3 linked regions of the Mus musculus genome follow. The protein of the gene in region 3 interacts with the protein of the main gene of each other region in a biochemical or structural test. Links are inferred from orthologs where the notes say so. Each region holds a gene or a part of one and is shown on either strand. Other genes may lie near its edges.

Region 1 (4,166 bases), about 16 Mb from region 3:
GGTCAGTTACTGCAGCACTTTTATTTCTTTACACAATGACGTGTTGCTGGGGCCTAATGTTCTCATTGAACAGTAGAAAACCAAAATTTGTCATTTCTTAAAGAATTGAGTACAAAAAACCTTACATAAATTAAAGAATGAATACATTTACAGGTGTCGATGCAAACGTTCCCAACTCAAGGCAACTAACAACCGATGGTGGTCAGGAGGGAAGAAACCAGAACTGAAACTGGGTCCTAAGGCTCGGACTTTCCCACCCTGTTAGACTGGCAAGAAGGAGTGGTAACTGGTTCAGGAACCCTTGCCAGCCTCAGGAAATCCTGGAAGTCTGCTGTTGGTTAATACCCTGCACAGATCACTCAGTGGTGCTCACAGAGATCCACCAGGCTGGGGCTTTCTCATCTACAGCGTGCTCTCCCCAGCCCCCAAGTGACCGAGCCACATGAACTAAGGACTAAATCAAGATATGCACAGGGTATTAAACATATACCAAGGGAGCAGTTAACTTGAATACAAGGTCAAAAATCAGCAACAAGTTCTACGATCCAGTGCTGATATCAGATACAAGCTTCAAGGACAAATTTCTTTTCAAAGGCTTATTCCAGTTTCATGAGGCTAGCATGAGGTGTGTACATTTGCCAGGGCAAATTGATACTTCAATATCAGCTCATGCAGCAGATGCCTGGCACCTGCTCAGTCCATCTAGAAGCATTTGCGGTGGACGATGGAGGGGCCTGACTCATCATACTCCTGCTTGCTGATCCACATCTGCTGGAAGGTGGACAGTGAGGCCAGAATGGAGCCACCGATCCAGACTGAGTACTTGCGCTCAGGGGGAGCAATGATCTGTGGAGGAAAAACACTGAATGAGCACTCATGCCCTTCCTGTGGGTCCCACTTCCCAGCCACAGGTCCTAAGGCCAGCTCAGGCCGGGTGGTAGCCACTCACCTTAATCTTCATCGTGCTAGGTGCTAGGGCTGTGATCTCCTTCTGCATCCTGTCAGCAATGCCTGGGTACATGGTGGTACCACCAGACAGCACTGTATTGGCATACAGGTCTTTGCGGATATCCACATCACACTTCATGATGGAGTTGAAAGTGGTCTCATGGATACCACAGGACTCCATGCCTAGGGAACAGAGCTCATTTAGCCACTACATTCTGTGTGTTCCATCCCTTCTGAGAGCCCCTTGGCTCCTAAATCATGTTGTGGACACCTACCCAGGAAGGAAGGCTGGAAGAGTGCCTCCGGACACCGGAACCGCTCATTGCCAATGGTGATCACCTGCCCGTCGGGCAGCTCGTAACTCTTCTCCAAGGAGGAAGATGATGCAGCAGTAGCCATTTCTTGCTCAAAATCCAGGGCAACATAGCACAGCTTCTCCTTTATGTCACGAACAATTTCCCTCTCAGCAGTGGTGGTAAAGCTGTAGCCCCGTTCAGTCAGGATCTTCATGAGGTAGTCTGTCAGGTCCCGGCCAGCCAGGTCCAGACGCAAGATGGCGTGGGGAAGGGCGTAGCCCTCATAGATGGGCACTGTGTGTGTGACCCCGTCACCAGAGTCCATGACAATGCCAGTGGTGCGCCCAGATGCATACAAGGACAGCACCGCCTGAATGGCCACGTACATGGCTGGGGTATTGAAGGTTTCAAACATTATCTGTGGAAAGACAAAGAACACCTGAGTGAGTGAGTAGCAGGGGCCCTGAGCCTCCCACACCCACACTCTGCATGCTGCATGCCACAAATGTGATGTGTGAAGAAAAAAAGAACAGAACGCAAGCAGAAACGCAAACAGAAACCTGGAGGCTTCAGGGAGGAAATGCCAGGAGAAGAGGAACAGAACCCTAGAAACACCAAAGAAACGCTTGAATGTCAGGAAATGAGGCACAACACAAAATGACTCGTCACGCCCAAGGGGAGGCAAGGTCCCGGCTCAAGCATACCTGCGTCATCTTCTCTCTGTTAGCTTTGGGGTTCAGGGGGGCCTCGGTCAGAAGCACCGGGTGCTCCTCAGGAGCCACACGCAGCTCATTGTAGAAGGTGTGGTGCCAGATCTTCTCCATGTCGTCCCAGTTAGTGACAATGCCGTGTTCGATAGGGTACTTCAGGGTCAGGATACCCCTCTTGCTCTGGGCCTCGTCACCCACGTATGAGTCTTTCTGGCCCATGCCCACCATGACGCCCTGCGAGAGAAAAGGCCGCGGTCAGACTCGCCCCACCCACCGCGCGACCCGGGCCCAGAGAGAACACAAGGGAGGCCACTCCTCTCAACTAACCTGGTGTCGGGGGCGCCCTACGATGGAAGGGAACACGGCCCTGGGGGCGTCGTCGCCAGCAAAGCCGGCTTTGCACATGCCGGAGCCATTGTCAATGACGAGTGCGGCGATTTCTTCTTCCATTGCGATCTGCGCAGGAAGAAGCCCCGGAATTAGCGCAGCCCTCACCGAACTCAGAAAATGTCCTCGGCCAGGGCCGAGCCACCCCGGAGGAGTGCAGTCCCCACCCCGGGCGGCGTAACCGTCGGCTACCGGCAGCGCCCCGTTCCGCCGCGGCGAGGAGGGGCTGCGCATTGCGTCGGGCCCCGCCCTGCCCCCAGCCGCGGCTGCAGACCCAGGCCCACCCGTCAGGCGCCCTGCGCTCCGCTCCGCTCCGCAGCGGTGCGGCAGGCAGGGTGAGCGGGAAGAAAGGGCCACAGGAAGTCACTGGGCCAAGCCCGGGGAGCGGCAGCTTACCGGCGAAGGACGCGGCGGCGACGGAGGAGCGGCAAGAAGCGCAGTGTAAGCCGGCGGCGGAGTGTGAGACCGACCGCGGCCTCCCCCGCCGCTATTTAAGCGGGAGCGGGCCGCGCGCGCGGGCGGGGGCGCGCGCGGCCCCAGAACATGTCCATATATGGCGATCTTTCCAAAAGCCGGGCGCCTATTGGCCCGCCCGCCAGGGACACGTGGGGCCCGGGCCCGCCCGCCCCTGGCCCGCGCCGCCGCCAACGGCCCCGCCCGCGCCGCCCCCGCGCGCTCGCGACCCCGGGAGGCCCGGTTCTTGCTCGCGGGGGTCTCGGCGAGTGGCGTGCGTGCGATCGGCCCTGCCCTGCCCCGGGACTGCCGCGTAGCAGGGAGGGCCCGGGCTGCGCCCCGAAACTGCCAAGCCCGGGGCGGGCCGCGCCCCGATCTGGGGTGAGTCCCGTGGCCCCCGCCCCTATGTGAATCCTGTGCCCCGCACACCCCCCAGGACCTTTCTCTACAGGGTCCGTGTGTGCCTGGCTGGGGACGGGCTGGAGGGATTCCCGGGGGTCCGGGGAGCGGCCATCACATCCCAGTCACGTGGGAGAGGGTCACCAGTTCTTCCACTTCAGCCATGTCCCTTTATTGGAGGAGGGGTCGTCACGGGGTTGGGTGTCCCTGGGCATCAAAGAAGGTGGTGGTGGTGGTGTGAGTGGGCATTGTGTTATGCTGGCTTTGCGGGACACATTGTAGGGAAACTGAGGCAGGGGAAGTCTCCCGACTTTCAGGATGGTCCAGCCCCGCCCCCCGCGTGGGTCAGCTGGCGAGACTCCTCTCCACTGATTATGAAGTCCGGGTCAAACTGGTTTTGGGCACAGAATGCTTAGGCCTTAGTCCCCTCCGGACAGGCGTGGGGGGCGGGCCGGCCTCGCTGCCCTTCTCCCGGCTGTTTGGAAACTTGTCACCCTTAGCAGGGTCGTGGCGCTGCCGTCCTAGATGGTGCCTGAAGAGAAAGCTGGCACGGGAGTTAACCGGGTTTTATTTGTAAGCTTCTGGAATGGTTCATTGTGGAATGAAGCGGAGGGTAGCAGTGAGGTGAGGGACTCCAAGGTCACAGGGCACAGAGCTTGATTCGAGCAGGTACGGGGTGCCACTCCCACCCTATGCACAGGCGCTCTCAGGCAGCCCTGCAAGGTCAGCTCCCCATCTGAGACATGAACACAAGACCCAGGGGGACCAAGCAGCCTGCCCTGCTTACCTGCTGGCCATAAACCCGTGCCAACACTCAGTCACCTTTTGTGCAACATCAGGCCTAGAAAGAAGGGCGCTGGCCCTGTGGTTGTACAGAGGTGCCTGTCAAATGGGAGCACCACCCATGAGGGGGATGCAGGGCTGGACCTCCAGGACCCCACCATGAGCCTACAGGAGCTAACAGCTAACTAAC
Region 2 (4,128 bases), on a different chromosome or scaffold from region 3:
CTATTTCCATAATACTGGTCATGGATTATGATCCTAACTGTATTCATTTTGGTACAATTTATTCTTTAGCTTGGGACCCAGAACAGTCTCAAACTCATCTTGCCTTGGACTCCCAAATCCTGGGATTACAGCATGCGCCACCATTTGTGCCTCAGTTTACTCTTACACTAATCCCTTTCCAGCTAACTTCTCTCAGGATTACAAGGAGCAGGAAGCATATAGTTTCCTAGTCTGTCATGCTGATAAAACTCACTAAGGTAACATATTCTGTTCCTTTCAAACACCAGACAGATTATTTTTAAAAGGGGTGGGGGTTCTTTGTGCAAAATGATGACCCAGAATAGTATAGTAGTGATGAATGCATAATTAACAAATAAACCACTAAAAAGTATACTCTATAAGGGTAACTCTTTTATGTGAATTAAGTATCAAAAAAAAAAAAGCTGTTTAAACAACAGAATTTAGAAAACAACCTAACTGAACCTTTGTAGAGTCTGAATCACTCAAATAATTTCTTAATTCTGGAGTCCCTTCCAGAACCCAATATATTTAACAAGATAAAGCAATAAAAGTTTGCTGTCTCAAGATCTATATCTTATAGTAACAAAGTCATGTTCTTATTTTTTTTCATTCCTATCTTACCAGTAAATAAGTTCATCTGAACTACTTTCATACTGAAAAGATACTTTTCAAATAGTGGAAATGCACCAAAACTTGGATTTTTAAACCCATATGCTTTGTGAGTTGGTTAAATACAAGTTAAGATTTAACCTTTCTAGTAAGCACCTCTAAAGAAATTAAGCAGCGCTGAACTACTAGAAATATTTGTAAGATACATTTACATGTTGATTTTCAAACTTAAATCATCGAAACCCTTGTGAAATAATAGTCACAAAAAGATAAATATGGCTCACTGGGTAAAGGTTCCTGGAAGCAGGGGAACCCAGTTCCATGTCCAGACCCCACAGAAAGGTGGAAGAAGAGAATGAAGCCCACACAGTTGCTCTTAGGCTTTCACATGCACACAGTGGCATGTGTGACCCCACCCCACAAAAACATCATGCAGGCACACCCACCGTCATAAGTTTTTTTAAGGGAGATAAATGCAATCATGCTAGATTCTTAATGAAACATCACTGTTGTGTCTGGGTGTATTCATACATGACTAGAGAAAGCTCTTACCTAAAATACTAGAAGTGGACAAAGTTCTCAACTTTGATGACAGAGTACCAAGTAAATCCCCTTTATCTACAAGACACTGTAAGTGTTTCATTTGGAGAGTTTGGAGCATCTCTGACTTTTAAGTATGGCTACTCAACTTTTTATGACTATACACACAAGCCATAATCCTCTATTTTATTAACTATATAGAAAAAAATCAGGAATAGTTAACCTAGAAGTGAAAAAGTGATTCCAAACCCTTTGGTGGTCTTTAACAGGTAACATCCTCTATTAATTTATGATCTAGCCAACTGAGAGTGGTATGTGACACATCTGAAACTTCGTGGAGAATTTAAGGCTTTATTTTAAATTTTTGTCTATAAAAGTCTTTCAATCAACCCAATGAGTATGACTTCCATGCTTGGTGATGGGGAAATGATGCAAAATAGGCCTCTAAGTACCATTTTGATTACTTCGTCAGACACAGAAGTAAACCTTCCAAGTTTAACAGCCTCAATAAGAGAACTGAAGTAACCATTACCAATGATACGAAAATTGACAAGGGGGGGGTGGGATTTAAGAATAAAGGTAGTATATTTAAGCCAAACCTGGATATTCTTCCTAACACTATCCTTGGAAGTTCCAGTCAAATGAGCCAAATACCTTACTTAACATACATCCCTTACATAATCGTCTCATTTAAAGGCACATCTATTCTGTTCCATACTACCCTAATTTTTAAGGGTCTTTCTCTTGGCCTTCACATCTTCTCCACCTGGATACAGCACTAACTGTTGCCAAATGAATGAATGAAATAAACATGTTCTAACTGACCAGGTACTTGGTGGAAGCTGATCTCAAAACACAATAGACCGGCAGACCAGAATTCTACTGAAAAGATCACTTAATTTCAGAAGTAAAAATAGAAACTACCGGACACTGTGCAGTCAACATGATATTAAATTCCCGGTGGGATGGGAAACTTTCGGGAATAACAATGTAATGCGTTCCTTACGGTACTTTACAATGGACTTGGTTCTACCTTGTCTGGACTAGGAACCCAAGCGCAAGACAAAGGGACAGCGGCGGGGGAAAGTCAAAAGGTCAGCGGCAGGCGCCCCTCTCAAGGCGCGGCCCGCAGGCCGGCGCGCTCGCGGCCACCCGGCTCTTCTCGGCGTCGCGGCACTCACGTCCGCACAAAGAAACCGCCCACAGTCAAAACACGCTCCCCGTGGGTGCGGGAGACGTATGCACGGTCGCGTCGGCCCGACCTCCGCGGGAGCACCTCCGAACTTGCCGCCCACCCGCTCCATTTCCCCCCGCGCGACGTGGAAGCCGGCCGGAGCGGTGAAGCCAGGTCGCGCGGAGTGGACCACGCCCCCCGCTGCCCCCGCCGCCCGCGCTATTGTTCCCGCGCCGCCCCCGCCCCGCGCGCGTTCCCGGGAGGGGGTCACGGCCGGGGAAAAGCGGCGGCCGCCCGAGCCGCGGCGCCCGCGCACTCACCCGGCAGTGCAGCCAACGGCGACCTGGAAGCCCGTAGCGGAGAACGGCGCCGTCCTGCGGTGGCCGCGGCCGCTACTCAATCCTGTTCGCGGCTCCGCGTTTCGGCCGCAACGTCCGGCCTCGGCCGCTCCGCTGACTAACAGAGACGCGGGCCGTCAACGCGCACGCCCGCCCACGTCATCGCGCAGGGCCCCGCCTCCGCGCCGGCGAGCGGCCTAGGGGCGGGCCAGCCCCGGGGGCCCGGATTACGAGGGCGTGGCCCCGCGACTTGGGCGTGGCTACACTGGGGGGCGGGCTGCAGTAGCGGAGGTTTTCCCCTGAGGGCGGGGCCGCGAGCAGCGTCTGGGCGGCCGCGTGTGAGGGGCGGGGCCGGGAGCAGCAGGGGGCGGGTCTGCGATGGCACGTGGCGGCGCGTGGCGGCGAAACACCAGTCATAGCTTAAGCCTGCATGGTTGCTAGCCTCGCGGGGAGGAGGGGTTAGTGTTTGAAGGTCAGGCACGCGTGCCAGGGCACACACCTGAACCACGGAGAGTCCTGGTTTGACAGATACTCTTCAAGGGCCTACCACCCACCAAGGAGTAGATGTTCTCTAGCTCCCTGGAAGAAGTTACCTCCTTTTACCCCCCAAACCCTCCTGCTCCAGATTTTTTGCCTTACCTGATTTACCTGCAAGTCCTTGCGGCTCTCGCAAATATTAACTATTCACGGATAAACTGACGAGCCTCGACAATGGATGGAAAGGTATTTAAATCACTATCATTCATGAGGCAAAATATATTTAGCACTTTAAAGAGTTCAAAGGCATTCTCGCCAACAACGGAGAATATCACTAAGAGAAAGAAGCAACACATACATATAGAATGATTCTACGTTTATATAAAATATATTACATGCACAGTATATTAAACTTGGAAAAAAAGTATGACAATTGCTTTGACAGTAGGAAATAAAGGGCAGTCTCTCTTACACCTGTGTAGTATACTGTGATTTCCAAAATATACAAATATGTATTGAGTAAATTCAGGTAGACTGTTCCCATTACATGTTAAAATGGTCTTTCTCCAGGGATGCTATCATGAAGCAAATGTGAGCACTCATTCATTTATTCTCCCCCCATTTTATCTCTCAGCAATTTTTTAATTTTAATTTCTTATTTCTCCAGTAAATATTTTATTGCTTGCCTATTCTCTTAAAGGCAGTGTACTAGCACTAGCAATAAGTAGAACTTATAGAGAATTCTTGTGGTATCAAGATAATAAACTATACACCAAATCAAATCGACACTAAAATGCAAATTAAGGACACATCCAACTATGAAAGGAACCAATGTATTAATAAGGCCAGGAAAGCCTTCTCTAAGGAGCTGCCTCCTAATTTGAGAACAGGTTTGACCAGGGATTATGTCCGAGTTAACTTGATGTGCGAACAAGGAGTTCCAGAACGGGGTAGACTGGGAAAACTGAA
Region 3 (4,309 bases):
GGCCTTGGCCAGCACAGTACCTCACTCGACCCCTCAACACAGTGCAAAATGGGAGTTCGAAGACGCTGTGATCTGAGCTTTGTTTCTGCACTGGGTAAAACGTTCTGTCTCCTCCCCCTCCCGCTGATTTTTCCGCTGTGACACCTTTGCCCAACGGGCCCGCTATAGTCAGCCCCCCCTCCCAGCCTTCCCCTTTCCGCATCCAGCCCAAGAGCCTGGCTTCTTCTAGCTTAAGAATCCTGTTCCCAGCAGCCCGTCGTGTGGCGAGGGATGGGTAGTATTTGAACCTATCTTTCAGATGCTCGCGAAATTTCTGCCAGGCGGGCCCGGCCACGATGCCACAGCCTCAGGCCGCGGTTTGATCGGGAGAGGGCGTTCCACCCCCAGCCTACATCAATCTGAGTGAGCAGTCGACGTGGGCAATTCGGCCCTTAAGAAGCTCATCCATCGGTCTCAAAACTGCTTACCCGCACCAGTATTCAGCGGTAAAATTAACCAGAAAACCTCGAAGACCGAGCTTACTGTACGGTGGGGAGGCTGGGACCTCTTAGCTTTCTATCCCTCTCTGGTTTCAAGGGCTGTTGTAGATGTGGATTTTTTTAAAAATGAAAGTCCCTCATTTAAATGATATTAATAAAATAATATCAGTCAGCACGCTTATAATAAAATACATTAGAGGCATCTCTCTCTCTCTCTCTCTGGATGGCTATGGTTGCCAGTGCCAAGAGAATGATGCTCGCATCAGGGATGAGGGGCCCCTTCCTCGTGTCTTCCAGGCACTATCAGACTACCCCAGGATTCTAAATCTCCGCGGAGTAAGGGGGGGGGTGGGAGGTAGGGGGTGGGAGGTAGGGGGTGAGGTAACGCCCAGAGGTTCCTCCTCTGGCTGGTGTGGTTCCTATGGCAACCCTTAACCCTCTCTCCTTGGGTTGGGAGGGATGGGTGTGGCCGCAGTATCCCAGGGGATCTCATACCCTCTCCTCACACTCTCCCACCGGGAGAGGCAACAGGGTTCAACGGTGGTGGTGGTGGTGGGGATGCGGAGTTGAGCTTGCCGAATCTCCCCATTCCCGAGGGTTATCTGGCTCCCCTAGCAGTGAAACACAAGTGGGGTGTGGTCCTCAGGATGGCCTGGGTGTGGGGAGGGATGTGCTTCCTCTGAGGGCTCCTGCACACGAGAGTCTATCTCGAATCCCACCCATGTGGCTCTGGGTCGAACTGGGGAGTGGGCTGCCGCAAGTCTGTAGATCCAACAAAGGGTCTGAAAAGAGTGGCGAAAAAAGGATGGAGCTGCTCCGAGTGCGTAGGCAAATATCCTCGTCGAATGAAAGCTTCCCGCCTCCCCCCGCACACTCCCCCAAAAAACCAGGGCTGGGAGCGCAGATCCTAAATCACACGACGAACAAAGCAGCGAGCTCCCCTAGACGACCTCAGGTGAACGCTCTGGTGCGCACCGCTGCAGAGGCAAAACGCCAAGGCTTCCGTGTTCATCACCCCCTGTTCTTTAACATGGGTCCAAGCCGGGTCCTCCAAAGCCTGGCCACAGCTCTTGGCATGCTACGATAGAGACGTGACTCGCCGCAAAAAGATGGCACCTCGCGTTCAGAGAGGGGGGAAAAAACGGAGAGGGGTGGCAGCGGGAGGAGACACATCGTACTCCCCCCTCCTCGCCCACCCAGGTCCACACCCACTGCCGCAGTGAGGGGCGAGCCCTGCGCGCCAGCCCGCGCCTCCGGCAGGGAGCGCACATGCCGGGAGCCCGGCGCAGAACGCAGAGAAAGAAACGCGCCCCGAAATGCACCTGCAGCCCTCGCGTGGGTCTGTGCCTGGCTGCAACGCTGCGCGCCCTCGAGCGGGGAGCCGCTGCCAGCCAGCCCGCTGACACCGCGAGGCCAGGTGACCCCTGACTCTTCGAGCTCCCACATTGGGATCCGCGCACTACCTTCTCTCGGGCACGGCGCTGCCCCTGTCACTGTACCAAGCGCGCGCAGGGGGAAGGGCGACTAACGTGACAGCGCCTGGACCCCTCCCCATCCTCCGGATTCCTCCCAGCCCCCAAATGTCCCCTGCCGGCTTCTGAAGGAGGAAAAGGGGAGGGGGCGGGCCACCGCCTTAAATCAGGGCCAGTGAAGGCCGTGTCAGAATCGCTGTCAGGGAGGTGGAGAGACATGAAGGCAGTCATCTTTTCTAGAACCCGATCCACACCTTCCTTAGGGCTGATGGCAATCAGGAGCAGAGAAATCCGATTTCAGGTTCTGTTTCGGGGGTCGTCGTTGGACCCCCATGCACACTCACAGACCCACGCCCATTGCGGCAAAAGGCTGAGATCCAGATTACAGAACAACCCCTTCCCTAGGTCACCGTCATCCGCGCCCCACCCTGCGGGCACAGCCCCCCTCATTTGCGCGGAGCCGATAGTGGGGACCCCAGCACTCATAGATACACGCATTCGCTCGCGTGCGTGCATCTCTTGCACGCGTTCCTTCCCAGCTCCCCAGCGCCTAGGGCGCAGAGAGGCCCCCGCCGTTGCGCCTGATTGATGCCCAGCTCCCTAAATCCATCTCTGGGGCGAGGGGTGGCAGGAGGACGGCGCACAGGGCCAGAGGGGACTGGATTTCAGAGCTGCGGCGCTTACCTGATAATCGACAGAAGGCGAGGACAGAAGAGGACAGCGGAGGAGAAGGTGGTTGTGGCGGCGGCGGCAGAAGGTGGGCGGTGGCGGCGGCGCTGCTGCTGGTGCTGGAGCTGGTGGGTGGCGGAGACTGAGAGCGCGCGCGGCCGAGAAAGCGCGTTCTGGAGGCCGGCGGGCAGCGCAGGCGCGAGCCACGGGAGCGCGAACCTCCCTAGGGGAGGGGCGGGCAGCGAGGCCTGGGCGGGCACCTCCCCTTCCGACCGCTAGGGGGCGCACGCGAGCGCCCCTCAACCCTCCTCTCTCCGCGCCGCTCGGCTCGCCCCTCTCCGCGCTTCCCTCCCCGGGTCCCGCCACGCCTCGGGCCGCGGTGCTGACCGCCGCGCGCACGCGCATTCCGTGGCGCACGCGCACCCGGCCTCCCGGGGCTGCAGCCTTTGTCTAGTCCAGGGGTCCCCTCCCTCGGTCCCCGCGGGGTCCAGGCAGAGCGGTGTGTCGGTCATCGTCCGCTTTTCAGTTCACCCTCGCTGGCTCTCCAGGCGGTACACCGTGAACCCCAAGTGCTACAGGCTCCCCGAGTCTCCTAAAATGTGGCCCTCCAGATAGAGCGCACTTTCTATTTCCAGGGCCAGCTGTTCGCTTGCTTTCTTTCCACCTGTTTTTGTTAATGGCCAAAGTGAATGATTTCCTTGACAAATCTTCTCGAAACAGATTAACTTGACCGTAATACACTTTAGCGTTTTCGTGGAAAAACAATTGTTTTTAAATCAAGGAGCATTCAAACCCATTAGGTATCTTGACTGTGACCCTAGCGAAGAAAAATCTTTAAATAGGTAAGTTCTAATGATGCTTACCACACACACTGCAAGGCATTTTCACAGAGTTATTTTTATCTCGTTTATTGAAACACCTTTGTACAGCGTGAGAGCTGAATTTTTAAGGTGCCTGCTGGAGATGGCCACCTGCTGGATGTCAAGCTTCCGGTTGAAATTGGTCATTAGTTCTCCTTCCAGCTACGTAGGCGTGGGCTGTGGCTTTAGCTTAATATCTTACCTCCCCAAAGCTCAATTCTCTTGGACAGCTGGAGCCTGTTCAAATGCAAGGAAGAGAGACAGGCACCTACTTCTTGCCAAAGAGGCGAAAACTTGTCTTGAAGCTTTCATTTGCATGCCGTTTTTTCTTTATTTTTCAAGGCAGGTTCTCACTATGTTGCCCTGGCTGGCTTGGAGCTCACAGAGATCCCCTGCCTGCCTCTGCCTCTAGAGTGCTGAGATTAAAGGTGTGCACTGCTATCCCAGCAGTTGTTTCTAAAACTCCAACGTTGTACCTGCTCGGTGTGTTGGCTCACATCTGTAATCCCAGCATTCAGATAGGCTGAGACTTGTTCAAGATCAGCCTGGGCTATATAGCAGAATCCAAGCCAGCCTGAATTGTATTACAGGGTGAAAGTGAGTCAACAAACAAACAAACAAACACACTTCTGGGCTGGGGGGGTGGATGGTTGTGAGCCACCATGTGGTTGCTGGGATCTGAACTCAGGACCTTCAGAAGAGCAGTCAGTGCTCTTAACCCCTGAGCCACCTCTCCAGCCCCCAAAATAAAATTTTGAGATAACTTTGGGTTCAGTTTTCTAGCACCACAAACATTTTTTCCCATATGAGCTTAATTACTGAATTATTC

What was found. The genes of interacting proteins can lie anywhere in the genome.
Region 1: the proteins of Mapt (region 3) and Actg1 form a complex in vitro, tested with the Homo sapiens proteins (2 studies listed by BioGRID, with this or other methods). The link is inferred for Mus musculus from reciprocal best matches to the Homo sapiens genes MAPT and ACTG1.
Region 2: of the proteins of Mapt (region 3) and Mapk8, one has a biochemical effect on the other in vitro, tested with the Homo sapiens proteins (2 studies listed by BioGRID). The link is inferred for Mus musculus from reciprocal best matches to the Homo sapiens genes MAPT and MAPK8.

What each region holds. Positions count from the first base shown.
Region 1 is NC_000077.6:120,345,688-120,349,853, forward strand, and holds the start of Actg1 (actin, cytoplasmic 2), read right to left. Parts: upstream 2,809-4,166; 5' UTR 2,738-2,808; intron 2,411-2,737; 5' UTR 2,405-2,410; coding exon 2,282-2,404; intron 2,189-2,281; coding exon 1,949-2,188; intron 1,850-1,948; exon of another isoform or gene 1,805-1,849; intron 1,727-1,804; exon of another isoform or gene 1,663-1,726; coding exon 1,224-1,662; intron 1,132-1,223; coding exon 950-1,131; intron 847-949; coding exon 703-846; 3' UTR 1-702. UniProt on the Homo sapiens protein: Actins are highly conserved proteins that are involved in various types of cell motility and are ubiquitously expressed in all eukaryotic cells.
Region 2 is NC_000080.6:33,444,351-33,448,478, forward strand, and holds the start of Mapk8 (mitogen-activated protein kinase 8), read right to left. Parts: upstream 2,809-4,128; 5' UTR 2,665-2,808; intron 1-2,664. UniProt on the Homo sapiens protein: Serine/threonine-protein kinase involved in various processes such as cell proliferation, differentiation, migration, transformation and programmed cell death.
Region 3 is NC_000077.6:104,229,934-104,234,242, reverse strand, and holds the start of Mapt (microtubule-associated protein tau), read right to left. Parts: upstream 2,808-4,309; 5' UTR 2,636-2,807; intron 1-2,635. UniProt on the Homo sapiens protein: Promotes microtubule assembly and stability, and might be involved in the establishment and maintenance of neuronal polarity.